3 linked regions of the Macaca mulatta genome follow. The protein of the gene in region 3 purifies or fractionates together with the protein of the main gene of each other region. This does not show direct contact. Links are inferred from orthologs where the notes say so. Each region holds a gene or a part of one and is shown on either strand. Other genes may lie near its edges.

Region 1 (5,861 bases), on a different chromosome or scaffold from region 3:
CGGTTTAAAACCATGCACGATTACCCAAACAACTCACAACTGTAAACCCCTGTGAATCTTCTCTGTTCTGCAATCCTAAGTTTGTTTCTGCTCAGAAACCCTCTCTTTTTCCAATCAGCAGTTAACTAACTAAAGGAAAAAACTTAACGATGCTTCAACCCCGTTTCGTGACACTTTGAAGACGCAATCACCTTTTGCACACACCCGCTCCCCCTCCGCCTCCGACCCTCTCCGCTGGAGCTCTGCGTCCCGAGGCCTAAGCGCAGCTGCCCGCCCCCACCCGGGAGCGCGGGCCTCGTGGTCAGCACATCCGCAGGGAGAAACAAAGGCCGCGGCGCGGGGGCTCAAGGGCACTGCGCCACACGGCACGCGCCTACCCCCCGCGGCGGCCACGTTAACGGGACGGCCGCCGCAACCTCGGGACAGTCGGCCGCACGCCGCCAGGCCTCGCGGACACGGGACCACGCGCCGCCCTCCCGGAGGCCCAAGTCTCGACCCAGCCCCGCGTGGCGGCTGGGGGAGGGGGCGCCTCCGCCGGAACGCTGGTGGGGGAGGGGAGGGAAAATGCGCTTTGTCTCGAAATAGGGCGACCGTCGCCACAGCTCCCTACCCCCTCGAGGACCGAACAGTCCCCCCACTAACTGCCGGCGCCGGCCCCGAGCCAGGTCAGCCGCGAGGCCACCGCCCGACCCTCTCCACTCCTTCCCGCAGCTCCCGGCGCGGTGTCCGGCAAGGAAGGGAGGGGAGCGGAGAACCGGGCCCCCGGGGCGCGTGCAGCATCTGATGCACCACCACCGAGCGAGGGCTAGAGAGAAGGAAAACCACCGACTTCACCGCCTCTGAGCTGCTCCGGGTCGCGGGTCTGCAGCGTCTCCGGCCTTGCGCGCCTACAGCTCGAGCCACATCCGAGGGGGGAGGGAGCCGGGAGCTGTGCGCGGGGCCGCCGGGGGGGGGGGAGGGGTGGCACCGCCCACGCCGGGCGGCCACGAAGGGCGGGGCAGCGGGCGCGCGCCCGGCGGGGGGGAGGGGCCGCGCGCCGCACCCGCTGGGAATTGGGGCCCTAGGGGGAGGGCGGCTGCGAAGACCGCGGCACTTACCGTTCGCCCCGTGGCGCCTGGTGGTCCCCAAGGGGAGGGAGGGGGGAGGAGGGGCGAGGACGGTAACCGGAGTCTCCTCAGCGGTGGCTTTTCTGCTTTGCAGCCTCAGTGCTGGCGCCAAAACCGGACTCCGCCCACTTCCTCGCCCCTGCGGTGCGAGGGTGCGGAATCCTCCAAACGCTTGGGGAGAGAGAGTTGGGAGCTTAAAAACTAGTACCCCTTTGGGACCACTTTCAGCAGAGACCCCTCCTGTACCCCAGGGGTCAGCTGCATAGACGCGGGTCAGGGTTAGGTCAGTGTGGCGTGAACGATAATTTGACTAGAAGTTGATTCGGGTGTTTCCGGAAGGGGCCGAGTCAATCCGCCGAGTTGGGACACGGAGAACGAAAAGGGAAGGCTCATATTATACTACGATTTTTCTGGCGGGGGTTATCAAAGGCGTAGCTGCAGGGACCACCTCCCAGGTTGAGAGGGCTGGAACTCCGGGCTCCGGATTAAGCTCCTCCCGTCAGCGTTAATTTCAAACTGCGCGACCGTTTCTCACCTGCCTTGCGCCAAGGCGGGGGGCGGGACCCTATTCCGAGAGGTAGTAACTCGCGGGACTCGAGCCTTCCGCAATTCACTGAGCGCATTTACGGAAGTAGCGTCGGGCACTGTCGCTGGCCACAGGAGGGGGAGGAGTACGCATTTGGCGTAAGGAGGGGCGTAGAGCCTTCCCGCCATTGGCGGCGGTTAGGGCGTTTACGCAACGGCCTGACGTAGAGGAAGACGCGTTAGTGGGGGGGAAGGTTCTAGAAAAGCGGCGGCAGCGGCTCTAGCGGCAGTAGCAGCAGCGCCGGGTCCCGTGCGGAGGTACTCCTAGCGGTGTTGTTTCTCGAGCAGCGGCAGTTCTCACTACAGCGCCAGGACGAGTCCGGTTCGTGTTCGTCCGCGGAGATCTCTCTCATCTCGCTCGGCTGCGGGAAATCGGGCTGAAGCGACTGAGTCCGCGATGGAGGTAACGGGTTTGAAATCAATGAGTTATTGGAAAGGGCATGGCGAGGCCGTTGGCCCCCTTGTGGAAGTCGGCCGGCCGCCTCCGTGGGAGAGCGGCAGGAAATCGGACCGCTTCAGTAGCAGTGGGGCTTGAGGTTTATGAACGGGGTCTTGACCGGAGGCCTGAGCGTACAAACAAGCTTCCCCACCCTCGGCCTCCCGGCGCCATTTCCCTTCACTGGGGGTGGGGGATGGGGAGCTTTCACATGGCGGACGCTGCCCCGCTGGAGTGAAAGTGGGGCGCGGAGGCGGGAATTCTTATTCCCTTTTTAAAGCACGGTGCTTCGGGGGCCACGGCGTCTCCGCGGCGAGTGTTGCGGCGGGCAGCGGGTCCCCGTGAGCGAGGCTGCGGAGCTTCCCCTCCCCCTCTCTCCCGGGAACCGGATTTGGCGGCCGCCATTTTCATGGCTCGCCTTCCTCTCAGCGTTTTTCTTTTAATTCTCTTATTCTTTTAGTGTGCTTTCTCTGTCAAGGCATAGAAGTGGTTAACTATTTTTCTTTCTTCTCGGGCTCTTTTCATATCGTTTCGAGGTGGATTTGGAGTGTTTTGTGAGCTTGGATCTTTAGAGTCCTGCGCACCTCATTAAAGGCGCTCAGCCTTCCCCTCGATGAAATGGCGCCATTGCGTTCGGAAGCCACACCGAAGAGCGGGCGGGGGGGTGCTCCGGGTTTGCGGGCCCGGTTTCAGAGAAGATACCACCACCCAGGGCGTCGGGCCGGGTTTAATGCGAGCCATAGGACAAAGAAACCGTTTTGTAGTTTTCCTGTTTTTTAAATTTATTTGAGTAACGGATATATTTGGGTCTGCAGTCACTAAAACGGCAGATGAACAGCAGCAAAAATAAACACTTTGGAAGCCATCGGCCACGAGGGGCAGGGACGAGGATGGTTTTCTGGGCGGGGGAGGGATATTCGCGTCAGAAGCCTTTACTGTTCTTAAGGATTCCGCTTAAGTTGTAAAGCCGACTCGTATTTTAAGTAATGTTTTTCCTGAGAAGTTTAATCCTTACGGGACAGTTCCATGGATCATTATAGATGATTAGTTAGAAATTACGAGGAAAGCGAAATCACGATTTTATCCTTAGTTGTACTTCGGTTAAAACATGGCTTCAGAGGCTCTTTCCTGTAATGCGTGTGTATTTTTGTGCAAAATTGTTTTGGGCCTGGGCCGCTCTGTATTTGAACTTTGTTACTTTTCTCATTTATGTTTGCAATCTTGGTTGAACATTACATTGATAAGCATAAGGTCTCAAGCGAAGGGGGTCTACCTGGTTATTTTCTTTGACCCTAAGCACGTTTATAAAATAACATTGTTTAAAATCGATAGTGGACATCGGGTAAGTTTGGAAAAATTGTGAGGTAAGTAATGAGTTTTTGCTTTTTGTTAGTGATCTGTAAGACTTGTTATAAATGTACATTATCGGTAATTTCAGTTTAGAGACACCTATGTGCTGACGACAATTAAGAAAAAACTAATTGAGAAAATGAAAATATCTATTTTGGCAAGTAACCATTTCAAGACTGCGTTGTGTCTCATAGGAAGTAGTTTAATCATTTCGGTTAATGTTTTTTTTTTTTTAATTTTTACCAGTCCTGAAAACAATTACAGGAAAAAATCCGAACTGGCATTTACCACTATTTTTTTTTTAGCAGTTGGGAGCATGTGAATGGAGGGAGAGAGCTCTGTAGAACTGGGCTGAGAGCAGCAATTCTTCTTGCTAGGAACAAAAAATAATTCTTCATTCAAAATTACTTGTGACTTTTTAGTGTGCATTATGCATTCGTAGTAGTTGGTCCTGGATATCACTTCCTCTCGTTTAATTTTTTTTTTTTTAACGTAGTTACCTTTTAAGACAGGTTTACTTAACATTCTTAACTGCCCAAAATACAGGGTTGTATAATACGACATATTTGCTTGTTTGCAGGTATTAAAGATTTCAACTCTGAGGTTTTTCCTATTGAGTTAGAAAATTGTTTCGTGCCGTGTCGCTTGCCACATGGCCAATCAAGTTCAGTAAGCTTCAGCTTTCAGTAATAGTTAGCTTAGAGATTATGCCAGGTGAATGTATTTTATTGTACATAAGGTTAAGCTGAGTAATTCATATTCTGTATTGTCATATCCTGTATAGACAGTGTCCACCAAAAACCTGTTAAAACTTTTAAGATTTGAGTGCTGCTGGTCATAAAAATGAATTTGTCCTGGTTTTAAGTAATTTTTAAGGTTATTGCTAATGCATATCATGATTTTAAATATTTTTGTCAGAGTCATAGGGAGAAACAGTATTTTAAAAAGTTTTTTTTTGGCTAATATACTTAGAATCACCACCAGAGGGGGCAGTTAAGGGAAAATGTTACTGAATCGTGAAATAAAAACTTTGGGTCATAACCATCGAACCAAAAGTTATTTTCTGATGTTTATAAATAGAAATCTGGGTTTTTAGGTTATAGGGTTGAAATTTTTGGTAAAGATTTAGTAATCTTTTGATAACCACGGTCTACATTTGTTCATTTCTCCTTAGAAATTTTTTAAATTAAGTAATAATACATTTGTTTAAGATAATTTAATGTTGAGTAAATTTAGATCAAGCATTAATGACTTTGAAACTTGTGTAGATCAGCTGAGGCAATTTTTTTGGTGTAACACAACTAATATGCAGTTTAACATATGGTTTAAATTTGATGTAAGTTTTTTTTTTCCCCCCCAGAAAACTTTAGAAACTGTTCCTTTGGAGAGGAAAAAGGTACTCTGCCAGCAGGTCACCTCATATTTAAGAATTTAATTTCCTGCATACAAAGAGGAAAATGTAAATAAAAATTGAAATGGTATTTTCCTTTGCAGAGAGAAAAGGAACAGTTCCGTAAGCTCTTTATTGGTGGCTTAAGCTTTGAAACCACAGAAGAAAGTTTGAGGAACTATTACGAACAATGGGGAAAGCTTACAGACTGTGTGGTACGTAAGTTACTGAATTGTTACTGTATGTTAGTATCGTAGCTGTTTAAGTGAATCATGGAGGAAGTAACTATATCAGCATAGTAAATTCTATTATAATGACTGTTTACTTATAAGTTATAATGAGATTAAATGCTAAAGTTTGCTCTTTGGTTTGAAAGGTAATGAGGGATCCTGCAAGCAAAAGATCAAGAGGATTTGGTTTTGTAACTTTCTCATCCATGGCTGAGGTTGATGCTGCCATGGCTGCAAGACCTCATTCAATTGATGGGAGAGTAGTTGAGCCAAAACGTGCTGTAGCAAGAGAGGTAAGCAAACCATGACTGTCTTGTGCAATTAACATAAAGAATGCTGCCTTGCTGAACATCGGAAAGTATTTCTGAATTTAGATTTAACTCAAGATTTTATTAAAGCTCTGTTGGGTTTTTGGACCATTTTCTGAAGCTAACTTATTTGTCAAAAGCTAGGTCCCTAAAAGCTGTTGTTGTAGATCTGGTAGTTTTAAGGTGGATACAAGCCAAGTATGGTACAAAGGTTGGCTACTTTGAATCATGCTTGTGTTTTTTTCTGTCGGGATGACTTTTACCCCACCAATATTTTAGGAATCTGGAAAACCAGGGGCTCATGTAACTGTGAAGAAGCTGTTTGTTGGCGGAATTAAAGAAGATACTGAGGAACATCACCTTAGAGATTACTTTGAGGAATATGGAAAAATTGATACCATTGAGATAATTACTGATAGACAGTCTGGAAAGAAAAGAGGCTTTGGCTTTGTTACT
Region 2 (6,118 bases), on a different chromosome or scaffold from region 3:
GGATCTGCCTCCTGGTTCTGGAGGCATTAATGGGTCCCTTTTTGCTCTCAAATGTCTTGCTGTAGATGAAAAATTATATGATTACCCTCTTTTTATTTTGTTTTGTTTTGTTTTTTTGAGACAGGGTCTTCCCCCTGTTGCCCAGGCTGGGGTGCAGTGGGGCAATCATAGGTCCCTGCAGCCTCGTCCTCCCGGGCTCAAGTGATCCTCCTGCCTCAGCCTCCTGCATAGCTGTGACTATAGGCAGATGCCATCACACATGGCTAATTCTTGTATTTTTTTGTAGGGATGCGGTCACACTATGTTGCCCAGGCTGGTCTCGAACTCTTGGGTTCAAGTGATCCTCCCACCTTGGCCTCCCAAAGTATTGAGATTATAGACCTGAGCCACTGCCCTCGGCCATGTATTATAAACTGATAGACGTGTACATAGATGTCCGCATCCTAATTCCCAGGATCTGTGCATAGGTTACCTTGCATGGCTGAAGGGACTTTGCCCATGTGACTGAGATAGGGAGATTATCCCAGTTATTTGGGTGAGCTCGATGGAATCACAAGAGTATTTGTGAGAAGGAGGCAGGAGGAGCAGTCAGTGATGGAGACGGGAAGATGGAAGCAGAGCTTGGGGTGATGGGGCCACCTGTCAAAGAACGAGTGTGGCCTCTAGAAGCTGGAAAAGGCAAGAAAAACATTCTCCCCGAGAGCCTCCAGAAGCGATGCAATCCTGCTGACAGTTTGATTTCAGTTCTGTGAAACCCATTTTGGATTTCTGCCCTCCAAAACTGCAAGATAATAAATGTGTGCTGTTTTAAGCCACCACATTTTTAGTAATTTGTTAACAGCAGCAATAGGAAACTAATATAATAGCACATCCACAGGCCCAGACGCATCTCACAACACAGTGCTGGAAACACCATACACACACACACACATACACACACACACACACACACACACACACAGCCTATCTGTTGGGTCTTCCTGTTTCTGCCCAAAATATCCCCTTGCACAACCACACCCAGCAGGTGCTCGATACGTTTGTGACTGCGTGCCCGTTTTGCGTTGAGCACAACCTTTTCCTGGGGGAAAACGCCTCCTATCCAGCACCAACATGAGACTTTCTTTAAGCCCAGTACAGGGCCAACACCTCTGCAGACTGGGGCCGCATCAGCACGTGCCCAGGCCTAAACCCCACTTCTGGAGCACGGAGGCCTCGGGCCTCCCCACCAAGCTGGCTCCTCTGGCGCTCTGAATCTTGCTGGGCTCTGGGGCACTTTGCTTTCCGGCTCCAGGTCTCAAGAATCCTCTCCTCTCCACCTGGCAGGACATGGGGAAGAGTCCATGAGCGAGAGGCTGGGTGATGAGACGGGTCCATGCCGCAGCTCCATTTGACAGATGGAGAAACTGAGGCCGAGAGAGGGGTTGCCGGGGACCCAAGGCTCACAGGCCAGCCATCACAGTTGCGGCCCCAGGGCTCCAGTAGATGGGGTGGTGGCCCCGGTGGAAGCGAAAGTCAGATTAGGGGGGCGAGGCCCCAAACCTTCTAAGGATGACCCACAGCAATGAGTGGGAGGGGCCTGGAAAGGGGGCGGGGCCTAACTGGGAGAGGCTGAAACACCTAGAACAGGGGCGGGAATAGTAGTGTGGGCGGGGTCAGACCTGGGGGCGGGGAACATATTAGAACAGGGGTGGAGCTTGCAATAAAGATCGGGGGCGGGACTCGCTGAAGTGCGAAAACTGGGCCAGGGGCGGAGCTTTGACCAGCGACTTGAGCGTGAAGGGGCGGGGCCCGCACGAAGGTGCGTCCTAGCTTGGAGGCGGGGCCTGGATGGGAGGGGCGGGGCCGAGGGCAGTATCTGGCCAGGTGAGAAGAGAATAATAGTCTGGCAAGCAGCTTCAGCGGCATCCACGGCACGAAGTTGGGTGGCTACGCCAAGCACTTCCGGGTGAAACCGTGCGTATTTCCGGTTAAGATGGCGGCGCCCAGTAGAGTCAGGTGCGGACGACTTTGTCCGTAGGAGCAGCGGCGGCTTGAGGACCCGGGGAGGTGAGATCCGCCCTATTCCGGCGCCCCTCTTCGGAGAGGAGGGAGAAGACTTGTTGCTAAGGAGACCAAAGGGCGGGCTTGTTGCTACGGAGGCGGGGCAGTGAGGTTGCTAAGAGACGGGACGCACGCATTGGAGATGGGGAAGGGGGGTTGTTGCCAGGGAGAGTGGGTGGGGCGTGTTGCTAGGGAGAAAGGAGGGGCTTATGACTTTGGGGAAGGGTCCTGTGGGTATGAAGGAAGGAAAAGGGGCTGTGGTTGAGTGGGCTGGGGACAGAGTCGTTTGGGGTCATGGGGGGGCGCCGAGCTCCCCTAAAACGCCACCTTCTCAGCAGACCCTCAAGAATCGACCCATCAGGACGCCAGAGCTGCTTCAGCGGTGACCACCTTCTCCCCCTAACACGTTCTTCCCTTCTTCACAAACGGCCCATGTCAGACGAAGGCTCAAGAGGCAGCCGCCTGCCCCTGGCGCTGCCCCCGGCCTCCCAGGGTTGCTCTTCAGGGGGCGGCGGCGGCGGCGGCGGCGGCGGCTCCTCCTCGGCTGGGGGCTCGGGCAATTCCCGGCCCCCACGCAACCTCCAAGGCTTGCTGCAGATGGCCATCACCGCGGGCTCTGAAGAGCCAGACCCTCCTCCAGAACCCATGAGTGAGGAGGTAAAAGATGGGGACCCAAGAAGCTGGGGTGAGGGGCCTGGAGACAGATAGAGGTGCCTTGGGAAGTGTGACTTGGGGAGCCACAAGAAGACTAGGGTCTTCTTGGGTGGGTGGCAGGAGTCCAGGTGTGGAGGCATTGTAGGCTATAATTTGTGCTAGATGGGGTCGTTGTTGACTGAAGGTCAGATCTCAAGAGAGTCTGGGGGGACATATCCTCTCCAGAGCCAGACCGACCTGGATCCAGCATTGTCCAGCTGTGTGACCTTGGATATATTACTTCATCTTTCTGAGTCTCAAGTTCTTCATTTACAAATTGATAATAATAATAACTACGGTATAGGGTAGTTCTGAGGTTCTACTTTAAGTAGGGCTGCACACAGTGTCCAGCATACAGGCAGTGCTTCTGAAGACAGCAGTATGTTTTCATGAAGAGCACAGGCTCTGTAGTCGGACTGCTTGTTTTTTTTTTTTTTTTTTTGGTGGGGGGTAGGGGTGGGGGACACAGTCTCGGTTGGAGTGCAGAGGCGCAATCTTGGCTCACTGCAACCGCTGCCTTCCCGGTTCAAACAATTATCGTGCCTCAGCCTCCCTAGTAGCTGGGATTAGAGGCATGGGCCACCATGCCTGGCTAGTTTTCATATTTTTAGTAGAGAAGGGGTTTCACTATATTGGCCAGGCTGGTCTCGAACTCCCGGCCTCAAGTGATCCATCTGCCTCAGCCTCCCAAAGTGGTGAGATTACAGATGTGAGCCGCCACGCCCAGCCTAGACTGCTTGGGTTTGATTTCAGGCTTTGTCAATTGCTGACTGTGTGACCTTGGGTAAGTCTCAACCTTTCTGTGACTCAACTTTCTCGTCTGTGAAGTGGGGATAACAATAATACATATACCTCATAGAGTTGTTTTGCAGATTAATAGGAATAGTTATTATATATAATGTTTAATTGGCAATTACTGTATACAGAGCATTATGCTAACCCACTTACGTACATGACGTCATTGAACCTTTACGACAGTGAGGCATGAAACAGGCACAGAAACATTAAATAGCTCACTCAAATTTACTTAGAACTGTGACTAAGGAGACCTCTGCTCCCCTCCCTCACCCCCCAAAATTCCAGCAGTCACTTATTAGCGCTCATCTCCTTTTTCTTTGAGATAGAGTCTCACTCTGTTGCCCCGGCTGGAGTGCAGTGGTATGATCTCAGCTCATGCAACCTCTGTCTCTCAGGTTCAGGCAATTCCCTTTGCCTCAGCCTCCCGAGTAGCTGGGATTACAGGCACACGCCACCACGGCTGGCTAATTTTTGTATTTTTAGTAGAGACGGGGTTTCACCCTGTTGGCCATTCTGGTCTCGAACTCCTGACCTCAAGGCGATCGGCCCGCCTCAGCTTCCCAAAGTGCTCGATTACAGGCGTGAGCCACCGTGCCCGGCCTCATATTGTTGTAAGGCTTTATTCTGACAAATCTCAAATTTATATCTCTAGGCCAGTGATCCTTCACTGGGGGTGATTTTTATTCCCCAGGGGACAATTGGTGTGGAAACATTCTTGGTTGTCACAACTGGAGGAAGGGGGATACCGGCATCCAGTGCGTGAAGGCCAGGGATGCTGCTCAGCATCCTGTGGTTCACGGGACGGTCACACCACGGAGAACTATCCAGCTCAAAGTGTCAGTAAAGCTGAAGTTGGGAAATCCTGGTCCGGGCTGCACCTCCGCCTGGGCTTCAGGCAGCTTCCTCAGTCTTTTGCCTTGGGTGTGTAATAGATCCCTCAAATTTGACACATTTGAAAATGAGCTGAAATCCCTGCTCTTCCCACCCCAAACCTGCTTTTCCCACCATTTCCCCATCTTTTCCTGGTTGCTCAGAACAGAGACCTCGGAGTCATCCTTGACCTCTCTTTCTGTCACACCTCGTATCTCACTAAATCAAACGGGCTCTCTTTTCAAAGTCAGTCCAGGGTCTGACCGTTTCTCCCCACTCCTCTCTCCTTCCCGCTCCACACCACCTTCTCTCCTGCCTGCTCCCAGCCGTAGCCTCCTGTTTCATATTCCTGCACCTGCCGTTGCCCCTCCTCCATCTGTTCTCAATCAACAGCAATGCAGGTGTCCCCACTCCTCTGCTTAGAGCCCTCCGGCAGCTCCCACACCTATTCAGAGGGAAATCCCAGGTTTTTACAAAAGTTTGCAAGACCTGATAATCACCTGCTCCCCTCCCCTCTCCCTTTCTCCTTGCTCACTCTGCCTCCACCACACTGGCCTCCTGGTGGTGCCCTCTGCCTGCAACCACTTCTAGATGTGGCCTGGCTCAGTCCCTCACCTACTGCTTTTCTCGCAAGTCGCCTCCCTGGGACCCTCAATGACCAACCCATTTCTTTTTCTTTTCTTTTTTTTTAGAGACAAGGTCTCACTCACTGCAGCCTTAAATTCCTAGGCTCCAGCCATCCACTCCACTCAGCTTTCTGAGTAACTGGGACCACAGGCATGCACCACCATGCCCAGCTAATTTAAAACTTTTTTTGTGGCCGGGCGCGGTGGCTCAAGCCTGTAATCCCAGCACTTTGGGAGGCCGAGACGGGCGGATCACGAGGTCAGGAGTTCGAGACCATCCTGGCTAACACGGTGAAACCCCGTCTCTACTAAAAAAAAAAAAAAAATACAAAAAACTAGCCGGGCGAGGTGGCGGGCGCCTGTAGTCCCGGCTACTCGGGAGGCTGAGGCAGGAGAATGGCGTAAAAACCCGGGAGGCAGAGCTTGCAGTGAGCTGAGATCCGGCCACTGCACTCCAGCCTGGGCGACACAGCGAGACTCCGTCTCAAAAAAAAAAAAACTTTTTTTGTGTGGAGATGGGGTATCGCCATGTTACCCAGGCTGCTCTTAAATTCCTGGGCTCAAGTGATCCTCCTGCCTCAGCCTCCCAAAGTGCTGGTATTACAGGTGTGAGTCATCGCACCCGGCCCCGACCTGTTTAATTCTGCAGCCGCAGTTCGGCACTCCAGATCCCCCACTGTGCTTAATCTTACTTACCCCAGGACGCTTATAATCTCACCATGTCAAATGCTACACTTTTGCTTATTTTCTTTATTGACTGTTCTTCAACCTGAATGTGAGCCCCACCCCCAGGGTAGGAGTTTCTGTCTGGCCCAGGGCTGCCTTTAGTACCTAGAAAAGTGTCTGTGAAAAAATAGATGTTCAGTGGATTCTGTCGCCCCGGCTAGAGTACAATATTGCAATCTCGGTTCACCTCAACCTCTGCCTCCCAGGTTCAAGTGATTCTCGTGCCTCAGCCTCCGGAGTAGCTGTGACCACAGGCTCGGACCATCATGCCCGGCTAACTTTTTGTAGTTTAGTAGAGATGGGGTTTCACCGTGTTGCCCAGGCTGGTCTCAAACTCCTGAGCTCAGGCAGTCTGCCCACCTTGA
Region 3 (6,036 bases):
CTCAGGAGGCTGAGGTACCCGGGAGATGGAAGCTGCAGTGAGCCGAGATTGTGCCACTGCACTCCAGTCTGAGCAACAGAGCAAGGCTCTATCTCAAAAAAAAAAGAAAAGAAAAGAAAAGAAAGAAAAAGAAAAAGGAAAGAAAAGAAAATGGAAGCAGTTGAATGTAGAATTCTAGATTTTACTGCTTTCCTAATAGTTTACAAGTCTCACTTAAGGTACGACCTGGATGTATTAGCTATTGCATACTGAGTGTTCACACAATGCCTCTCTCACACAGTCATGATGTGTCTTGGTACTCAGTCAGCTACACAACCACAATAACTAGTGGAAATGGCATGCATGGCCTGAGCACAAACAACTGGCTCCTGAAGAGCATTTAACTCAAGGGTGCAAGCAGCAGAACCTGGCGCCTAGAGCGGCCTGCGGGCCGTTCAGCCCATGGGAACCAGGATTAGTTGAGTTCGCTTCACAAAGCAATGGGGCAGTTTCAACAACCCAACGCGGCCGAGGGGGCTGTGAGAGGCTGGCTGTCCATTCCCTCCACCACCCAATTTGACGATCCCCACAACCAAGACGGGGCTGAGCTGGCAGAGGGCAACAGTGAGTTCTGATACAACAAACGCAGCAGACTCTGGGTTCTATTCAGGTTTTCTTATTCTCACGTCTATCCCATGAGCATAAAAACGTGATTAACTAGCGCATAAGTAGGTTAAGCATTTACTGGGGGCGCAAGCCGAGCCCTTTTACTGGCAGGACGCACAAATGGAACGGCCGGAGAGGCTGCTGCAAGGGGCGCTTATCCCCACTCCCTGCACCCCCGTTTCTTTGCTTCCCGGACGCCGTCCTTCACCCTGCAGTCTGCTCTGCCTAAGACCCCCCGATAGAGGAGCTGCGCCCACGCCCAAGGCCGATTCACTGGGCACGGGCGCCCAGGTGACAGCAGCCGGGCCCACCCGCCCCAGCGCGGCCACGTGCCCGCTGGGCCTTCTAGGGACGCGCCTCGCCGCCCCGCATTGCCGCAGTCACCTCTGGCTCGGGCTCAGGCTCCAGTTCGGGCTCCGACCGCCGCTTCTCCGGCCGCACGCTTGGCGCCGCCGTGCGCCCCGTGCCCCGCGAACCCGCCATGTCCCGCCGCGCGCCGGCCGCGACCCGAACAGCCGCTTCCGGCAGTGACACGGCCGCGTGCGCAGGAGGACGCGCCCCGCCCAGCCCGGCCCCGATTGGCGGGCGGGGGGGGGGCGGGACCAACACGCGCAGGCGCGCGGCGGGGCCGGGGGCCGGGGCGGGGTCGGGGCCTGCGTGCTCGCGCCGGGGGGGGACGCGAGAGGGCGGCAGCGGCGGCGGCAGCGGCGGGAGCGCGCCCGTTGCAAGATGGCGGCGGCCATGCTGGGCCTTGGGGCTGTGTGTGCGCAGCGGGCGGCGGCTCGGCCCGGACGGCTGGCGCGGCAACGGCGTTAGCCCGGCCCTCGGCCCCTCTTCGCGGCCGCTCCCTCCGCCTATTCCCGCCTTGCCCGAGATGGATCTGCCCGTGGGCCCCGGTGCGGCGGGGCCCAGCAACGTCCCGGCCTTCCTGACCAAGCTGTGGACCCTCGTGAGCGACCCGGACACCGACGCGCTCATCTGCTGGAGCCCGGTGAGGGCAGCGCGCGGGCGCGGGGCCCGTGGGGACCGGGAGGGAGCAGGGCCGCGGTGGACGGCGCGGGAGGGCTGCGGGGAGGGGCCCTGCCACACCTCGGCTTACGCGCGGGGAGCCTGCCCTGCCCCCGCCAGGAAGGGCGGCGGGTCCCGAGCCTGCCCAAACGCAGAGCCTTAAGTTGGGAAAGCGGCTGCGAGACCCACACCCGATTGAACCGCTGCCCCAGCGAAGTTTCCCTGGGATGGGAGAATGGGGCGTCCCTTGCATCGGGCTTCTGCTAACTGTTGGGCGGTTGCGGAAGTGTCCGCGCTTAGGGCAAGCACCCGGCTTCGCCAGCGGACGCTGTGCTCCAGAGGACATCGGCGTCCCCGGGGGACGGCCTACGGGGTGCTGGGTCGGCAACTATTCGGAGAAAGTCAGGACTTGGCACGTGAAGCGGAGGGCGTCGCTGTAGTGGAAAAGGAAAGGCAGTGGAAACAGAAAGTAAGACGTCATGAAGCTTCAGGTTAATCTCAAGCCCGTTTCCGAATCCCAAATCTGGGTTTCCCAGGAGGAGTTTTGTTTTTCATTCCTTGTGGGGCGTCTTTACTCGTGTCTTTATCTTCAGTTGCCTGGCAGCAGGCTTGTTTACACGGTCCGACCCTGCAAGACCGGACAGCTCCGGTTTGCAGAAGTAAATCAGTGATTGTCTGGAGTTGGAGATCAAAATCTGCTGTTCACATCCCGGCTGTGACGTCGTGTCCGGTGAGGGGCAGAGCCACAGCCTGTGGCTGGCAAGTGATGGCCTGAAGAAAGGCCACACTGGCCGAGCGGGGTGACTCTTTGCTGTGAAAGCAGCACTTTGGGAGGTGGCGGCGGGTAGATCACTTGAGGCCAGGAGTTCGAGACCAGCCAAGACAATATGGCAAAACCCCGACTCTACTAAAAATACAAAAAATTAGCCGGGCGTGGTGGTGCTTGCCTGTGGTCCTAGCTACTTGGGAGGCTGAGATAGGAGGATCCCCTGAACCTGGGAGGCAGAGGTTGCACTGAACCGAGATTCCACCACTGCACTCCAGCCTGGCAAAGAATGAGACCCTGTCTTAAGAAAAAAAAGAAAAAAGAAAGGCCACTGATCACTGGGAGCTTTTGGAGGGACCGTGACAGGCGGGATGCCACCAAGCATGTGTGGCCTCCCAGGAGCTAAGACCCCAGAGTTCCTCAGGCTCTGCTGAGGGCCTCCCATTTGCACAGCCTCTTTCTGCTGTTAGGAATGAAGAAAAGTCTGAACTGAAGCTGCTCCAGGCAGGAGGCCAGGCCTTCTGCTTCTCGGGTTTACTGAGGCCCTGCTTTACCTACAGAGTGTTTGGGAATAAAGAGAGGACTGGAAATCTTTGCTCTTTTCAGAAACACTTTGTATTTGTCCTGCTGACACCTCTGTCTGTGTCGGCCTTCCCATCCCCAAGTCCCATTACGGCGCAGTGCGCCTTCCTGCAGGCTGACTTCATTTCACCATCTCTTCATTCTAGACCTTGGCATTTTTGTGCAGAGGAAGTATTCCCATGTTTCTGTTTTCTTTTATCCGTCTTTCGTTTTCTTTCTTTCTTTTTTTTTTTTTTTTTTTTTTTTTGAGACGGCTTCTCGCTCTGTCACCCAGGTTGGAGTGCAGTGGTGCGATCTTGTCTCACTACGACCTCCACCTCCCAGGTTCAAGCAATTCTCCTGCCTCAGCCTCCCGAGTAGCCAGGACTACAGATGCACGCCACCACACCTGGCTGATTGTTGTATTTTTAGTAGAGACGGGGTTTCACCACATCAGCCAGCCTGGTCTGGAACTCCTGACCTCAAGTTATCCACCTGCCTTGGCCTCCCTAAGTGCTGGGATTACAGGTGTGAGCCACTGCACCCAGCCCTTCCTTCTTTTTCTTATTCCCCTTAACCCTCAGAAGTACTCTCTTGCCCCATTGGGGGAGGGGCATCTGAGATTATCTGGGATATTCTAAGCTTAATCCTACTAGCATGATCTGTCCTGTCCCATAATCTGCTTGCTGTTTCTGCTTAAAAGATTATGAGGCATGTGGGTTAGGTCCCAGTGTACTCTTTTTTGAGACCGAGGCATGTTCTGGGCAGGGCTTTTGAGCAAGGGAGGCAGATTTGATGAGGCCTGTGGCCAGCCTCCACTCTCCTCACAGGTGCACCACCTGTGGGCCTGTTCTCCCTGGGGAGGGATGGGGAGCCGTGTGGAATGTCAGTGTTTGGTTCCACCTGGTCAGTATAAAGTGGCAATGGTTGGTGCAGGATGTAGCAGTGGGGGCGAGCATGGCAATGAGATAGAAACACTGACTTCAAACTGGAAGGAAGCCCTTCTCCAGACTGTGCAGGGAGCTGCAGAGCTTTCTGGCGCTGGCTGCGTGGCCTGGAGAAAGGAGGTGATCGTCCCATCCTGTGGCTTTGAGAGCACTCACACAAGCCCTGAGGACTCCATGTCGGCAGAGTCCCAACAGGGGACCCTCCCACAAATCTACTGCCCAGGCCCAGCTGGCTCTCGGAGGCCTTGAGAAGGCCCTGGTGCTCTTGCTCTCTGCTGCCTTCTCTGGGACAGTCTCCTGGCTCAAAGTCTTACCACCATTCTGCCAAGAAAAACCCTCCCTGTTTGACACAAGAAGATGAGGCAGAATCACAGGCATGGTGACTAATTCTCCAGGCTGAATAACTTGGGGGAGACTGAGGCCCAGAAACTGGCCAGTGACTTTACTGAGCCTGGCCAGGAATGGGACCAGCTCTGGACAACCATTGCACTTCCCCTCCCTGGCCTGAGATCGGGACTCCCACTGCAGCCACTGGAGGCAGAATGCCGGGTCACTGTCCAGGAGAGCCCATTTGGTGGGGACTATGGCCCCATCCCTGTGGTGTTCGATTTCCCACCCCCCAGACCCTCATTCCCATGAGCACCCCACCCACACAGGCAGAGGCCTTGAGGGGACCCAGCAAGTCGTGGAGGACAGCACAGCCCCATCTGCCTTGGAGAGGAAACGTGTCAGCCACAAGGTTATGATCCCGGGAGATCCACATAGGAGCATGGGCATGGACGTGGGTGGTCCTCCCTCAGCCAGCTTTTTAACAGCTTATCCCAAAGGTGTGCCTGGATCCAGTACCACTGAGACCCAAAGACGGGGTTGGGGGACTGAATACCTGGACTGACAGGCAGCTCCATAGAACTGAGACCCGTGAGACCAGGGACCCGCAGCCTCCCTGCCCCGTGCCCTGGTGCCAGCCCTCAGCCCAGCTTCCTCCTCTGCATGCAGCAGCTCCTCTGTCCACCAGCGGAGGCTCTTCTAGGGCCTTGCTGGGTGCAGCTGACTCAGGAGGGCAGCAGCCTCTTCGGAGAATTTGACAGCGTGGAGACCCAAACAGAAGCAGAAAGTGAAGCCTCAGAACTGGGTTCACCATCATCTCAGTTTTTTACAAGCTATGATTTTGTCCCACCTTTATTAACAAAATAAGGAAGTATGAAAAGTAATCTTGACATCCGAGATGGTGAGATTACGGATTTTTTTTTTTTTTTTTTTTGAGATGGAGTTGCCCAGGCTGGAGTACAATGACACGATCTCGGCTCACTTTAACCTCTGTCTCCGGGGTTCAAGTGATTCTCCTGCTTCAGCCTCCTGAGTATGGGATTACAGGCACCCACCACGACACCCGACTAATTTTTTTTGTATTTTTAGTAGAGACAGGGTTTCACCATGTTTGTCAGGCTGGGCTAGTACTCCTGACCTTGTGATCCGCCTGCCTCAGTCTCTCAAAGTGCTGGGATTACAGATGTGAGCCACTGTACCCAGCCCAGATAATTTTTATAGTTATATTTTTCTAAAATACTTTTTTAAAAAAATGAACATATACTTCATTTTTTTGTTGTTGTTGAGTTTTTGTTTTGTTTTGTTTTTTTGAGACAGAGTCTCACTCTGTCACCGAGGCCACACCCGGCTAATTTTTGTATTTTTTAGTAGAGATAGGGTTTCACCATATTGGACAGGCTGGTCTCGAACTCCTGACCTAGTGATCCACCCACCTCAGCCTCCCAAAGTGCTGGGATTACAGGCGTGAGCCACCACGCCCGGCTAAAAAAGTGAACATATATTTCATAAGCGAGAGCAGAAAATGTTTTCAAACCTGATCATGTTCTAAAAAGAGACCAGCCCAGCCCTACGTCCCCCTGCCCTGCAGGGCTAACTGTGGCTGCCCTGGGCAGCTGTGGACTCCAGGCTGAGGCCTGAGAACAAGGCACAGCCACACGACCTGTGCTAGACAAATGCTAGAATGATGGTCATGCAGGTTAGAATGAACCCAGGTAGATAGAGGCCTCAGGATCAGGGTGAGACCAGAGGGGGCACCTGAGGGGCACCTGGGTGCAAAATTTA

What was found.
Region 1: the proteins of HSF1 (region 3) and HNRNPA2B1 purify together in Homo sapiens (affinity purification with mass spectrometry; 3 studies listed by BioGRID, with this or other methods). This does not show direct contact. The link is inferred for Macaca mulatta from reciprocal best matches to the Homo sapiens genes HSF1 and HNRNPA2B1.
Region 2: the proteins of HSF1 (region 3) and HSPBP1 purify together in Homo sapiens (affinity purification with mass spectrometry; 5 studies listed by BioGRID and IntAct, counting the BioPlex papers as one, with this or other methods). This does not show direct contact. The link is inferred for Macaca mulatta from reciprocal best matches to the Homo sapiens genes HSF1 and HSPBP1.

The regions. Positions count from the first base shown.
Region 1 is NC_133408.1:102,186,672-102,192,532, forward strand, and holds the start of HNRNPA2B1 (heterogeneous nuclear ribonucleoproteins A2/B1), read left to right. Parts: upstream 1-1,934; 5' UTR 1,935-2,088; coding exon 2,089-2,094; intron 2,095-4,837; coding exon 4,838-4,873; intron 4,874-4,971; coding exon 4,972-5,082; intron 5,083-5,243; coding exon 5,244-5,390; intron 5,391-5,684; coding exon 5,685-5,861. UniProt on the Homo sapiens protein: Heterogeneous nuclear ribonucleoprotein (hnRNP) that associates with nascent pre-mRNAs, packaging them into hnRNP particles.
Region 2 is NC_133424.1:67,615,033-67,621,150, reverse strand, and holds the start of HSPBP1 (hsp70-binding protein 1), read left to right. Parts: upstream 1-2,191; 5' UTR 2,192-2,334; coding exon 2,335-2,697; intron 2,698-3,113; exon of another isoform or gene 3,114-3,176; intron 3,177-4,657; exon of another isoform or gene 4,658-4,729; intron 4,730-6,118. UniProt on the Homo sapiens protein: Inhibits HSPA1A chaperone activity by changing the conformation of the ATP-binding domain of HSPA1A and interfering with ATP binding. Interferes with ubiquitination mediated by STUB1 and inhibits chaperone-assisted degradation of immature CFTR.
Region 3 is NC_133413.1:154,683,675-154,689,710, forward strand, and holds the start of HSF1 (heat shock factor protein 1), read left to right. Parts: upstream 1-1,873; 5' UTR 1,874-1,888; coding exon 1,889-2,122; intron 2,123-3,220; exon of another isoform or gene 3,221-5,016; intron 5,017-6,036. Other genes in the region: ribosome biogenesis protein BOP1, read right to left, coding at 1,030-1,128. UniProt on the Homo sapiens protein: Functions as a stress-inducible and DNA-binding transcription factor that plays a central role in the transcriptional activation of the heat shock response (HSR), leading to the expression of a large class of molecular chaperones, heat shock proteins (HSPs), that protect cells from cellular insult damage.